Lonchura striata: one gene and its partner. The protein of the gene in region 2 interacts with the protein of the main gene of each other region in a biochemical or structural test. Links are inferred from orthologs where the notes say so. Each region holds a gene or a part of one and is shown on either strand. Other genes may lie near its edges.

Region 1 (7,158 bases), on a different chromosome or scaffold from region 2:
CCAGCTTTCTCCCACAGGACCATATCCAGAGAGTAGCTTTACCTATTTGAGTACATGCAAGGGGAGACAACTTTAGTGGCTCTCTGCCAGCATTATCCAGACACAGATCTGCAGTTCTTGCTGACTTGCACAGGGATGTAGGCATGTGTCCTTCTCAGCAGGGTGAATCGTCTGAGATCTCACTAGGCTCCTGCCAGGACAGGTGAACAGTAATCATGCCAAGCCAAACTAGAGGAGACGCTCCAAGTAGAAGCTTTGGTTAACATCAGCTGGGTTCTGCTGAAGAAATAGCTTGTAGATATAAGGTAACTGATGGTGCAGGCAGGATTTGTGATATATAAACAGTGAGACAGCTCTCTGTCCTGAAAAAGGCCTTTCCAGTTGAGGTGTAGGCACTAAAATGGATGAATTCCTTTTATTGTTAACTTTCAACAACACACGAGAACCCAGCTCACAGCCTCTTGTTGAAGGGGCCCTACTCAGACTGCTTTTAACATAGCAAATAACTATGCCAGAAGGGATGAAGCAATGTTACAGGCTGTTGTAGATCTTCTTAAAAATAAGTATTTAGTAATGTAATACCTGATGTCAATGCCGCTGATATAAAATTTGTCATTAAAGGGATAATAGAGATGAGGTGGTAACGACAAACATAAAGGCAATGAAAATGTATACATTAAAGATTAAATGGATTTCCCCTTAAACAAATGACATTATAAATGAATAATCTGACCAGCTCAAAGCCATCATTTTAGTGGGAAATCACCTTACCAGTGAGTTTCACTGGGAAGGAGCTGGGAGTCTGCCCTGAAGTTCCAAAATTACACACACACACACACACACACACAGAGCCCTAAGTCGCAAAACTACAGCTTCATAACTGTGTGACTTGAAGAGGCCAACTCACCCTATGGAGCAAGCCCTGTTGTTAACTGGGTTCTTACATGTGCCAGCCTACACCTTTACACTAAACAGTTACTAAACCAACAAGGGCTGGTACTTATCCAAGAAATTTGCTTGCTTGCCTTGGTAAATAAAGGCATTATATTGGACACTGGGAACACTGCCTTTCCTGCCTCTGGGATAAAGGATTTTGAATTTGTGCTGCTGTGTGCCACATGATTTACGAGCTTAGGTATGCACTAGACCAGGGGGTACCCGTGGAGGGGAAGAGCTGTGGCTTTCCTAAAAATTCCAAGACCCAGCTCCCGAGACGGTCTCTGGGCAGGTGAGGCTTTTAGCACAAGTGCAGTACAAGGTGCACAGGACAGCTGTCGTTGTGCACCTCATAACAAAACAAAAGCCCTGACTTTAGGAAAGTCAAAATGCCCCTAGTTATGCTCCTAAGAATAAATAAACAACTTCAAAAGTAATCCATGGCCAAAGGATGACAACTTTGGGATTTTATTTCAGGAGCACAGGTGTGCAGTCCAGCAGATGAATTCTACTTCTGCCCACCCTTGTTCCACTATAAACTTTGTTCCACTATAAACCATTATTGTTGCAGAAAAGCAGCTGTCTCATCTGCCCTCCTGGGCCAGCGAAAACATTTAGGAATTGATCTGGATTTTTTTGGGGCGTCTTTAGATTAGGTTTCACTTCCCAATCTAATTCTGCACACAAAGCCTGTGCTGATGCGGGTGAAAATGAGCAGCAGCCTAAGGGGTGGGTGAAACCCTTTCTTTCACCAGCATGGAAAACCATGGCCCCAGTGCACTACTCCTGGCACTCCATCATTCCCTGAAGCCGCGCACCTCCCCACTTCCTCTTCTAACCAGGAGGTTTCAGTTTGAAGATAAGGCAACACAAACACTTGCAAATCTACCGGAGTACGCAGCACAAACAAAGCCTGGTCTCGAAAACGGGGCAAGGAAAGCAACGAGGACGACGAACCCCTCATTATTATACCCCAACCAAACCCAAACCGACAGGGTTTACATCTTACAGCCTTCAGGTCAAGCCTGGATCTGCTCGGGAACGCGCCCCAGCTCCTGGGCTCCACGTGGGAGCTGCAAGGCCTGGCACGGGTAGATCAAACAGGCCAGAAACGTGTCCTCAGGCTACTGCTGTCTCCACTCGGCATTTCTGCAGCGCACTGAAAATCAGCAGTTTCTGCAGATCGAGCTCTCCGCAGATTTTAGCACTCACAGCCCCAAACTTCTAACGCTGAGCGGGAACGGAGAAAGATGTGAATCGTGCTGGAGCAAGGTGCTAATGACGCGGGGTTAAGATCAAGAAGGTCCCGAAATATCTCTCAGGCTGGCGGTGCCCGGCGCAGCTCGGAGGGTGCCGGGGGCCCGGCCTGCGGCGCCCACGGTAGCGCCACTTCTACTTTAAGGAAGTACCGGCAGCCGCGGCCCCGCGGAAAGGGCTGTAAAAGCAACAAGCCCGGGCAGTCGGGCACTCCCGCCCCGCCGCAGGTGCCGCGGGGCAGCGCAGAGCCGCCCGCGGGTGCCCCGTGCTGGGGTCGCTCCGGCATCGCCCCGCGCTCCCCGCGGGCGCCCCGCGCTCCTCACCTGCCGTCCCCGCCGGCAGCGCTTCCCTCTCCTCCGCGCCCTACGCCGCTACCTTGCCTCGGAGAAACAGCGGGGGGAGGAGTGGAGCCCGGGAGGGCGGCCCTTCCTTCCCCTTCCCTCCAACAGCGCGCGGTGGGAGTAAGGCGGCGAGGAGCGCTGTCCGCCCGGCGGTGCTCAGGGTCACCCGCTCGCATACCCCCCAGAGTCACCACCTCATCGATGACCCCAGGCTGCCGGGCAGCTTCAGCTGCTGCTTTTAGAGGTTTGAGGCTACCCGGAGAAAATCGGTTCCGAGGGTGCAATGGCAAAGAACAGAAAGTTTGTGAGGTGGAGATGTGTTAGAAGAGGCGTGGATTGAACTGAGAGGAAAGGGGCAAAAGCTTTTCCATGAGCCAGATTTCCACAGAAAGTCTTTCTTGCCTTAAACTTTTGACTTACACGGTGGTACAGTGATGAGGTGAAGCACAGTGGAAAAACCATATCTATGAAAAAGAGAAACAGAGAGAATAAAGGACAAAATTATTTCAGATAAAACTCATATCCTGGAAAAAGACTGCAGAGATACAAAGTATGAATATTTGACACACTATGGGCAGCAAATAGTTACTCTCATGAGAACTATGCAGCTGTGAAGTTGTCAAACCACAGATAGTATCACAGGATATTTGCTCCCCTAGGCTTGCTCCCTGAGCTACTCTGATGATGCTTATCTCTTTAGATTGTCTATGCATGCACTTGTCGTATCAGACATCCTTGGAGACAGGAACTCCAAAGCTCATGAAGACTTTCAGAGCCTTCTATCACCTGAGGGCACACTGAGGCCTTTAATAACCTCAGCCAGACCCAGCCGGGACCAATTTCAGGCATTCTACTTAAGCTCAGGCTGAGGGGCATTTTGTTCTTGGGGTCATGTGGAGTAACTCTACTTTTGCTGCTCCTTGGCACTGGCTTGACACTGTCTTTTTAGCTCTTTGTAGGACAGTTGGGTAAGCTACCTGCTTATTATTATTTAAATAAACATACCTCTGTAGATGAGCAAATAAATATTTATGGACCATGGGGTAATGTAACATTCAGGTGTGAATTGGTTAGTGAACAACCAAGCCTGCTGTTGCTGTGACCTCAGGAACATATTCTTGGGTGTTTTTTTTTTTTTTGTTCTCTAAACAAATAAAGAAAAATCACAAACTTTTGACCAAATTGGGAAAAATGGCGCTTGGGAGATAATCAATAAAAGCAAAGAAGGTTGCCAGGCCAGTCAATAAACATTGATGTTTATCTCCATGCTGGTCCCAATTCTGACCTCTTTTAAGTGTGAGCGTTATTTCCCTTTCCAGTTGCCTGTGAGCTAACTTGAGAGAAGAGACTGTAGAGTTTGATGTCAGCCTAGTCCTGCTGTGCCAAGAGGGATGGGGCTCATGTTCCATCTGGACTGCTGGAAAAATCTGTCGCCTATCTGCCAGATCCCTTGGAGAGGAAATGCACTTGCTGGATGAAGAAAAAATGATCTGGAAAAAAGACAGAAGACAAAGAGGTGGGGGGTAAGCTCTCTGTGAATCTAACAGAAAGTATTGCAAGAAAATAGGTGGGTTTTCAGTTGACACTGATCAAACCCCCAGCATCTGAGGCAGTGATGGTTTACATCTGAAGAGTTGCAAATTAGGGAATGCTTTGGAGGCGGTGTTTTCATTTTCAGTCATCTCTCAAGGGGCTGAGGAAATCAGATTTGAAGACCTGTAATACCCTCATCCTGTCAGAGGTGAGTGGGGAAAACTGTAATTTAGTAATAAATTTTCTTTTCCAGAGTTCCCATGGAAAAGGACAGGAAATGGAACGTGCATTTGTAGCTTCTTAACAGTTTATATCATAAAAGCCTCCTTTAGTCAGGAATAAAGTTTGCTGGAATATAGGTAGTGTTAATTTATTCTTGGGGTTACTCAGCTAAGGCTGAATGTGATCTGTTTAGAGTTTGATCCCTTTTCCAAAGGGTCTACTAAACACCTCTAGCTGAGAGTGTCTTAGTAGACAAATATATGTTTTTGGGAGCATGAGGAAGTAACATGACAAAGACAGAATAATAAATACTGATTTTTTGGTAAAATGTGTATTTTTTTCTTCCAATATACTTTTAAAAGCTTTTCTTAGGCCAGTGTTATAAATTATCACCAAGTGATGATGTAATCATGTAAGACTGGCCCAATTGTTGTGTTAATGCACCGTCTGGAGGAATGTCTTCTCTTTTTTCATAGGCCTCTTTATTTCTGTTATGATTTTTCCTTAACTATAGGAAGAAAAAATGCTCAGTATTTAATTTTGGGTGAGATCACCCCAGTTTGTGGATGCATGTGTTTTCCGAATTCCCATTCCTCTCAAACTTGCCTTACTTAGATTCTCTGTGTTTCCATGCAATAGCTGTACTGCTTCCTCCTTCTCCCAAAGCAGCATTTCCCACTTGGGGTTTGCCAGGCTGTGGCAAAAGCAGATCTAGAGCAGAACCATGGGGGGATGGGGAACAGCAGCGACTTGTTGCAAGTGCTGCATTTCTCCCAGGTCTCTTTAGACACTCATTAACTTCAGTTTTAACAAGGAATTACTTGTGGGAGTGCCAAGAGTTAGGAGGGCAATTGGTAAGTTCTCAGTGTAGGAGAAGTTATATAAAGAAGTTTGTATAATATTTTAATGTTCCTGTGAGTTCCTGGCACATGTAAGTTTACTAAAGCTTTGAAGAAGCTACTGTTGGTGCTTGAACTGAGGGCTTAGATTGTAGGTGAGGACTAAAGCTGAGCAGAGAATGTCAGTGTTGTGTTCTTATATCCTGTAGCTGGTCAGTGGGCATCTTCATGTACTGACATCAAAACCAAGGAGGGGAGATGTAAAAGAGTGGCGCCCTCTCCCATCATGGAAAACTTGTTATTTTGTGATGTGATTTCTGAAATCTATGCTTGGTAGACAGATGGTTTTTGTTGTGCGAAATATTCCACTTGTAGGCAAAGAAGTAAAGTGTGTCTCTCTGTGTCCCCCCCCTTCACTGACAAAGAAATTAATCAATGCAAACCCTGGCATGAGCACCAGGCACTACTGACAAAGCTCTTGAGAAAAGCTGATCTGTACCACACAGGGTCTTCATGTTGAAAATCTGCACTCTGATAAATGTCCACAAGTGGGAGGTGGCAATACTTTATCCTTTGGTATCCCTTGGCTGTAGTGCTGGTTGGTGACACCAACAGCCATTATCTAAATATCTGAAGCTTTGGAAAAATTCAGTTCGTGTAAGAGAAAAATCTAAATCCTGTAAGTGGAACCTGGATTAAGAGGAACAATAAAAGTCCCTCATTTTCTTGGTTTAGAAGAGTTGAAGCTGCTGTTGCAGATCTGAAATGAGGTCTGAAACTGATGCACTGGGGTGCCCCTGGGCACAGAACAGACAGCACTGACCCATAATGAGTCAGGCTCACTAAGGGTGTCTGTGTTCCCACCCTCTGGGTGTTGGGACTTCTGGGGGTTTTTAAAGTCTGCTTTCTGACTCTGGCTGGCTCATGCTTGAAAAGCACCACATAGTGAAATACTTCCCTGCCTGGTGCAGAGGGTGAGTCATTTAACATTGCTACCAAAACCCCCTCCCTAGGGGGAACTGAGAAGGGTGAGAGGGAGGGATCAGAGCAGACTCAAGAGGAACTGACCAAAAAGGACCATAACAGTGAGCATGTTCACCAGACAGCTGATTGGTGACACAGACCTCTCTCATGATGCTTTCAGCTGAAGCAATGAAGCTTTGAAAAGCTAGAGTTGCAAACAGAACTATTTTTCATGACCAAGGATGAATTCATCCTACTATTCAGCCTTTTTACCTTCCCTCAGTCTGGTGGTTGCAAAACAGAGTAAAAAACATATGATGATTTAGACTGTCTTTTAGGCTTTTTCAAAAATGGTGGCTTGGTCATCATATCTATTACATGGTGTAAGACTTTCAGGAATCCTTACCTTTTCTGTGCGCTTGTAAGTCAGGGCTACAGGGAGATGGTACCAAGCTAATCTTGAAAACTTTCCTCCTAAATATGTATCTGCATGGTTAATTAAAGGAAATACATTTTCCTTTTTTACCCTTGGAGCCCAAGCACCTCCTGTGAGGTTGTAAAATTTGAGTTAAAAGTTGTTAATGCCTGACTGAGTACATAAAAGTTAAAGACTACAAGAGACAGCATTACATCAAATGGTGGCCAGTGAGTTGAGTCTGCATTCTTTGGGGGGTGTTTCTTGTGGATTCTGTCATGTCTGATGGGAATGTCTTGCAATTGTAATCTCAGCTGTAGGACCAAGTGAAGGAAGAATCCCAAAGTCTAACATAGGATTTGGTACTATCCTTTCCAAAACAGGAGTGAGAAAAGCTGGGTTCAAAATTATTGTCTGATTACATGCTGTTATTTTCTTTAGGATACTGGTTCTCAGCTGGAGTGACACTCTGAGATATTATCTGATGCTGGATTGAGGCTGTTTGAATGGAAGCTTTTAAGATAAATAGACTCACCTTTGTCTGACCTCTTCAGTTTAAAATTGCTCATATTAATAGTACCCTAAATCATTCTTCATCCTTTTTAGATGCTTTAAATATAACAGTTGTACTTACATGATCTAAATGAAACTG
Region 2 (7,662 bases):
CTGAGTAGGAGAAACGATACTGGAGAGAAAATAAAAGGCGTTTCTTTTCTCTTTAGATGGGCGTAGGAGAGTTCAATATCTTACCAGAAAAACTGCTTTGAACAATGGTGATAAAGAAGAGGTTTAATGAGGCTGGGGCTGTTTGTGGAAAATTAGTCCGTATTAGGGTATAATTCCTTCAGGGAGCGTTTATAATGCCGGCAGGAATGCGGGGAGAGGGGGCAGATCAAATTCCGGCACAATCTTGCAAGCTTTCAGCTGCCGATGCATGGTGCACCTGTGTGTTCCCCTGTCTGACCTCAGAGCTGGCTTGAAAATCTCTGGCATCTGGAAGTGCAGGGAAAGATCAGGTTTTTAATTTTTTTTTTTTTTTTTTTTTTTTTTTTTTTTGGGAGGGGAAAAATAATCTTTTTTTTTTTTTTTTTTTTTTTAAAGCTTAGAATACCGTGTATGTTACATCTTTTTAAAGGATACTACAAACTATTTAGTGGGTATGCTTTTTAGTGGTTTGAGATTGGTTTTTTTTATTTTAATTTTTTTTTTTAACCTACTATCTTAAAGATCTCATACTGATATGTTCAAAAAGGTGAAAAGATGAATAATACTCGGTTAAAAAATCTGGTTGGTTGGCAAGATTTGAGAAATTAATTTCATACTCTTTTGCTTATCTCAGGAAGAATGTTCTCCTTAGCAAGTACAGATTCGAACATGACAGTTTAGGCATTTATCTCGCTTGTGGAGTCTGGAATAGTATCTCATTTTCAAACTCTAGCAATGTGGAGATAAAATGTAAATACTGCTGTATTAAAATTGCCACTTTACCTTGTACACCGTCACTGGTGGCTGCGGTAGGAACTTGCAGATTTTAAGTGCATGTAATTTACATTGCTTGAATTTAACTGTTTTGTAATTACACTTTGATTTGTATTTTTTTAATCAGACATGGTGGGGTGGTTAAGCTGTGCTGCTTATGAACTTCCATGTGAGTAATTTCTTGGTATAAAGTTGTGCTTATTAATGCAAGGATTTTCTCTTTTGGAGTTTAAAAGTTGTTCGATTTGGCATCTGTAGCTTATTTTTTGCAGTCTACTTAATTGAATAGCTTCTCTGTTTATCTTAAAATGCAGATAAATGGCTTTCAGCGCAGTGTTTATAGCTTAATAGTTCCTGAAATGAGAGTCAACATTATCTCCTAGACTCTACTAGTCATAACTAATGATCCCTCTGCTTACACTGTAGAGCAAGCCAGGAGACACTGAACTCTGTAGAGAGCAAGGGCCCTGTGCAGTGGGAGGATAGTTTGTATGTGATGGCGCCTGCTAGACAAGGCTTTCATGGCTCTGTAGTGTTAATTGGGAACCAAAATTTGTCCTTGGCCACCTCTAACCTCTCCTGTTACTTAACTCTTCTAGGAATATTCATACAAACCTGAGGGGGAGTTGACAGCACACAGTATTCTCCCCTCCCTCATCATTTAAGGTGAATAATATCAGATTGCTCTTATATTTGCTTCAGTTTTGCCCATCAGAGCACATTTTGGAACACAAAGTCTTTGCAGAAATTTGGTGCATTTTAATGTCCCAAATATCACTGGCAGGCAGCCTAACAAAGGCATTGTGTTGAAGCCTGGAAGAGGATGAGAAAATAATTAGGCAGCTGGCAATTACTGTATTTTGTTCTAGGCCTTTTTATATGACATTTAAATTTCTTGATGAAAGAAAGATTTTATTTTATTTTATTTTATTTTATTTTATTTTATTTTATTTTATTTTATTTTATTTTATTTTATTTTTACATTTTCCTGACCTTTGGCTTAGTTGTGAATGGAGAGTGGTAAGCTTTCCTTTTTAATAGAGTTAAATGCATGCTCTGGGAAGAGAGAAGGGAAAGGAAGGAAGGTCAGTCAAGTGGATTTACCATCCACCAGTAGTGCTCTATTATTATTACCTTGGGAACAAAAGATCCTTGCTTATGCATCAAATGAAAATAATATGAGGAGCAACAATGCCTCATGGTGTGAGGGGTTAATATTCTTCTACATTCTGTCAGCTCATCAATATGACCTTTTCCTGAGTTTTTTAACTTGCAAGAGTATTTATTGGAAATTGCAGATGCAGGTGTTGTGAGGTGGTTATCACTGTTGAAGTATTTCAGCCAGCACAGTGTTCTGGTTTCAAAGAGGAAGTTTGTTTTCAGCAGGAAGCTTTTGCTGGCTTTAGGTGAAGTTCAGTTAGTGATATACAAAACAGCCTATGTCCCTAAATCCTGTGTCTCCATCTAGTCCACTGTGTTGAGAACTAATTAAATGTAAACAACTAGGTGTGTGACTGGTTGTATATGAAAGCTATTCCTACTTAAAGACACTTATGTCAGTCTTGTTTATGCTCCAGCTTCCATGCTTCTCACTGTTTGTATGAGTTTTCAGGTTATCTTAAAAGTAGGTTTGAGCTTTGTGTTGGCAGAACAGCAGGCTGGTACAAGACACATTCTGGGTAACACCACATGCACTGCAAAAGCCACAAGAAAGCAAACTCAAAAGTTTTGAAGTTTCAAATTCAAAAGTTGTAAGTAGTTATGACTACTTGCAATTACTTAGAGCTTACTACTTAAAACTCTGAAGATGATTTTTTTGGACACGGCCATGAATGATCTCCAGGAGCTACAAGGCAGAAGGAGCAGGATGCTGTTGGAAAGTTAAAGAGAGGAACATGATTGCTGCCAGGAGCACCAAGCAGTTTCTAGCAGGACCATGATTCCACATTGTTTTGGCAGAAATTTAGACATTATCTATTTTTTTTCACTTGGTAGATGTGGTCTTGATAGAGTTACAGGTAGTTCTATAAATGAGGGATGAATCAGGAACGAACCAGAGTATGGAGGAAGAAAAATTTAGCTATTGCCTCTGCTAGTATCAGATAGCTTTAAAACAGCATGTGTAAGGCTCCAAAAAAGGAACTAAGTATTTGGAAAAAAAAACCACATGCAAATTTTTTGAAAGAGGAAATTTGAGGCAGCTTTCTTATTTTGATTTTATGTTGTATAAAGTCTTGTTTCTTAATTTTACTTTGTTATCTAATCAGATATTTACATATCCTACTTGTTTCAGTCAGAATCTTGAAGAGTTAGCTCTTCTGTAAGAAACCAGTTGAAAGTTCATATAGGTCTAGATTACTTATGAGCATTTTCTCATAGGAATAAAGCTCCTGTTTCTTTGGAAATAATCCCATTGGTAAACAGCAGCTGCAATAAACCTTCCACCAAGAAATTTGATACATAGTTCTGAGTATGCAGATATCTCTTTTTTCATCACCAGTTTCCAAAGGTGGAATTAGATTAGGGAATGATGGGACAGAAACTGAAGTATCATTTTGTAGAGAAGAACATTTCAGTACAAATGCTGGGAGTGTGTTGTGACTGCAGTGTCTGATGTTTACAGCTCAATATCAGAAAGAAACATTAGTAACAGCATCTGTTGGTAATTTCTGACATTTACATGCTACCATGGAAATTATAGATGTTATGTAGGGGAGGTGTGGCATTTTATGACCATATTATCTGGAATAAATCCGGATTACCAGATTAAGTTAACTAAATTATTTCAAATATCTGAAATAATAATATATGTGGTTTTGTTTTTAAATAATACTGGTTTGTTTTATATAAATATGTGTGGATCACAATAATGGAATTTTAATAATGGTTAGTCAGCTTGCTCAGCAAATATCAGGATCATAAAATGCTCTCAATGGCTGTGTACTCTACCTTGAAATGAAATTCTTGCTATTGTTCCATGATGGGACCAAATTTTTATGTGTTTGATGCAGATTATCAAGTTTCCTGGGTTTTTTTGTTTTGTTGGTTTTAGTTTTGGGTTTATTTTTTTCTGAATTTTTTTTGTTGTTGTTGTTTGTTTGGGTGTGGTTTTTTTTTTTTTTTGGCTGTTGTTTCTTGGTGATTTGGTTTGGTTTTGTGGGGGTTTGTTTTTTTTTTTTTGTGATGTGCTATGATAAAACCTATGTATCCTAGTAGCAACTTCATGACCTCTTTGCTTCCTCTTCCTCTGAAAAAAAATCCCAAATTGCTGGTTGCATGCCATTTCTTCTCATAGTCTGTTCTCAATTGGCATTTTTTGTACCATAAGAAGCCTAAAAGCCCCATCAAAACCTTCTTGTGATTGCTCTCATCAGCAAAGATGTATGGGATTGGGTAAATGAGGGCCAGGCCACTGTGGTGTATCCTGTATCACAAGTAGTCCCACTTTAAAGGGAGGTGAGGAGCAGAATGCTCCAACTTCAGCGTGCATTTTATATACTGACCTTGGAAGGTGTTGCCAACCATCTGGAAAGAGTTAGAAATTCTGTATTGCTCGGGATCTTTGTTTGATTTGTAACTCCAGGATTTTCTTTTCCTTTTGCCTTTTTACTGTCACATCCTATGCAGCCTGAATACCCCTTTGCGCCTGGCTGGAATAATATTGTTTGCCAGCTTACAATCAAAGCGAGCTCAGAGGGAAACAGCTGAGCCGTATTAAGCAGAGGCAGTCTGGACTGCATTTCTTTGCTGCTGAATAACCCGCCACAGGTGCAGGATTAGCCCAGCCTACGGTGCTGTGTTTGCTTAGCAGAGCCACCCTCTGCCTCCTCGCATGACTCTCATCCTCGGGGAATCTGGCAGCGATGTAGCGAGCGCGCCGAAACTCCCTGTAAGTAGAAGGCTTTAGCTTTTCAGCTCACAAAGCACTTGTGCTTCCCCTACCCTTACCTTTCCCTTTTTCTTCTTCTTTTTTTTCTTTCTTTTATTTTTGTTTTAGTTTTTTTTTAAAGCCTGGTTTGAGCGGAACACTTAAGAGTCTTGGGGGGGGAAAAAAAAAAAGTAAAACAGAAGTTCTGTGGGTTCTTCAGGAAGGTCAGAGAGGGACTGAATAAAGTGTTGCTGGTGTGCTGGCAAGATGTGGGGCAGCAGGTCTTGTGTTTGCAGCTTTGACTCCTGCAGGGACACACACTGGAGATCTCCTATCCATTCACTTGGACTGGGGGTCAGGGTTTGTACAACGTCAGGAGCCTGATGCAAGCCTTTAGGTGCACTTTGGTTGGTTTAGATTTCATGAGAAAGGTGATAGATTTACAGAGAAAATACTGCAGATAAAACAAAAGTTTCCTGTTACCCTTTTTGGTGAGGATTGAGGAAAAAGAGATTTTTAGAACTAGTACTTGGAAATCAGCCTGATCTTGAACTTAAAAGGATGAAAAATCACTTTTTCTTCTTTATATTAACCTTTGGATTTGAAGTTAATTTAAAAATAAATGTTTGGGTAGTAATAGGCTAATTCTGGTGCCAGATTTGCATTGTGGGCCTGAGGTGTTATGGGTTTTAGCCTTAGTGATGGTCACCTTCTGTCTAACTTTGTAGATATATAGTGCTTGTGTATGTCAGTAATGCTTTTTAAAATGCTGCATCTGTTCTATACATTTCAAATGCTAGTTAGCCGGAAAATAACCAAATAATAAAAACACATGTACTTTTTCTCCTACTCATTGCTTTTCTTATCTGGCTGGACACAGAGAAAAAAAAGTTCTACATTTGAATAGAATTGTGGAGAAATCTGTAGAGAATGAAAGAAAGGTGGTCATGCATCTCTTGAAAACTTCTGGTCGAGGAGAAGAGCACCTGGGATGTGATCTTGCCAAGGGTGTTTGCAGTGCACATTTCTTGGGTTTTGAGGTTGTGTATGAAGTGTAGGTGTGAAGATATATGTGTATGGCATTGGGAAAAAAAGCAATGCAAGCAGACTCAGTGGGGCTGAGGGCTGGTTCTTCCACTCACAGAGGCCCGAGTGTGTGACTGAGCATGGAAGCCTGTTGGTGGGCACTGCTTGATGGGTTGGTGGCAATGTCATTGGCATGGGTAGCATACACCCCCTTCCTGCCCAGACATGAGCTCTGGAGCATTCAGAGAGGGAAATGCTTTTAGGCTGCTCAAACACTTCTGGAAAACTGTAGTGCTTATGTCTGTGGTCAAAATTCATTATTGTTGTTGCATACGTGCAATTAATTTTGGTTTGCAGTAGATATGCTTTCCTCCCCCTCTAAATGGATTTGTTTGTTTTCTATCAAAGTGAGTAAGTCAATGACACTTTCTGTGGCATTCAGCCGTGTTTGCAGATGATAAGGTTTGTGCCTCAGCCCTCATTCATGAACACAAAGATCTTCTTCATGGTTATGGTTTCCACACATGCAGTTCAAATGCCTGCACAGCGTGTGTGGTGAAGCCAACAGTAGCAGCAGTCAGTTCAATGCAGTCCCTGCCTTGGCAGCGTAACAGGGCAGCAATTTATACAGTCACTTGCTCAGTTGCTTAAAACTCTGCTTGGCCTGGTGACCTGTCAGGGTGGCATTTGCCTCCAGGCAGAAAAATTCCTGGAGATCCTTGAGCACTTCATTCAACAACAGTTAGTTACTGAGAGTGTCCTAAACACGTGGGATTTTGGGATGCGGATAGCATTAATCCATGAAAAATTATAAAAATACTAGTTTTTTTTTTTTTTTTCTGACACCAAATAATCTGTCCTTCTGGAAGATGGACAGGCACTTGAGGAAAAGTTGGAAGGGGAATTGGCAGGAAGCATCATCATCCCCATGTTTTGGGAAGAATGAATTTAAAAGAAGTTATATGACCAGAATTTGGGAAAAAAAAAGCAACGAAGAAACCCCAGAATTTGGGAAAAAAAAAAAAAAACCCAAACACAAACATTAAAAATATAGTATGCTTATAAGCATAGCAGCTATATGACAGTTCTGGTTTTGTGACTGTCAACATTATTTGATTTGTTCTTACAAGAAGAGTAAAAGGGAATGACAGCAATGTAGCAGAAATTAGAAAGGAGTTGGTAATTCATGAAGTAAATTTATGAAGTAAATGCTCTTTAGGCTGAGTTTGGGTTATGTCACATTTACTCCTGAACAGACAAACCCAGTCAGTCAGAAGGGCACCAGCACCTCTGAATAGTTTTGGCACTGATTTCTGCAAGCATAGCATGTGCACATGCTAATTATATTTTAATATCCAGGTGCAGTCTTTGATCTTGAGGTGAGAATGGCTAGCTGGTATTTTTATCTTCCAGGCACTATTTTTGTCTCAACTGCATGGTGCACTTGTGTTTCTTCTCTTTTGGAAAGGCAACAGGAGTGACAGTGATTTATTAAACATATCTAAGAGATCCATGAGGTCAGAGCTGTCTCTTGCTGTTTCATTTAAATTCCATTTTCTGAATCCCCTCAATCTCAATATCATCTTAAATGATAATAAGTAAAAATCTGCAGCTTGCACAGTGCAATCTTTGCTGCTTTCCTAAAGATCAGATAGCAAACATGGATTAGTAGCATTGCTTCCCATCTGTGTATTCTTTCCCCTGTTGCTGCTGTTCAGGAGAGTTTTCAAGATCACTTGTAGTGACATTTGCATAATCTCTAGGTGATCATATTTGGTGTTTCCTGCTTGGAACTGCAAGTATATGTGGTGATTTGTGGCTTAGAAACAGAAGTAACTACCTTAGGATGTTAGCAACAATCTTCCTATATTTTTTAAATAACTTTTTCTAAAATATAGAGTGTGGCACAGGCTGTGCTGTTTGTTAATATGCAAATTGCCTTTTTGACATATTTG

The links. The genes of interacting proteins can lie anywhere in the genome.
Region 1: the proteins of BMPR1B (region 2) and BMP2 form a complex in vitro, tested with the Homo sapiens proteins (3 studies listed by BioGRID and IntAct, with this or other methods). The link is inferred for Lonchura striata from reciprocal best matches to the Homo sapiens genes BMPR1B and BMP2.

What each region holds. Positions count from the first base shown.
Region 1 is NC_134605.1:24,945,046-24,952,203, reverse strand, and holds the start of BMP2 (bone morphogenetic protein 2), read left to right. Parts: upstream 1-4,140; 5' UTR 4,141-4,275; intron 4,276-7,158. UniProt on the Homo sapiens protein: Growth factor of the TGF-beta superfamily that plays essential roles in many developmental processes, including cardiogenesis, neurogenesis, and osteogenesis. Induces cartilage and bone formation.
Region 2 is NC_134606.1:51,235,473-51,243,134, reverse strand, and holds the start of BMPR1B (bone morphogenetic protein receptor type-1B), read left to right. Parts: upstream 1-4,645; 5' UTR 4,646-4,702; intron 4,703-7,662. UniProt on the Homo sapiens protein: On ligand binding, forms a receptor complex consisting of two type II and two type I transmembrane serine/threonine kinases.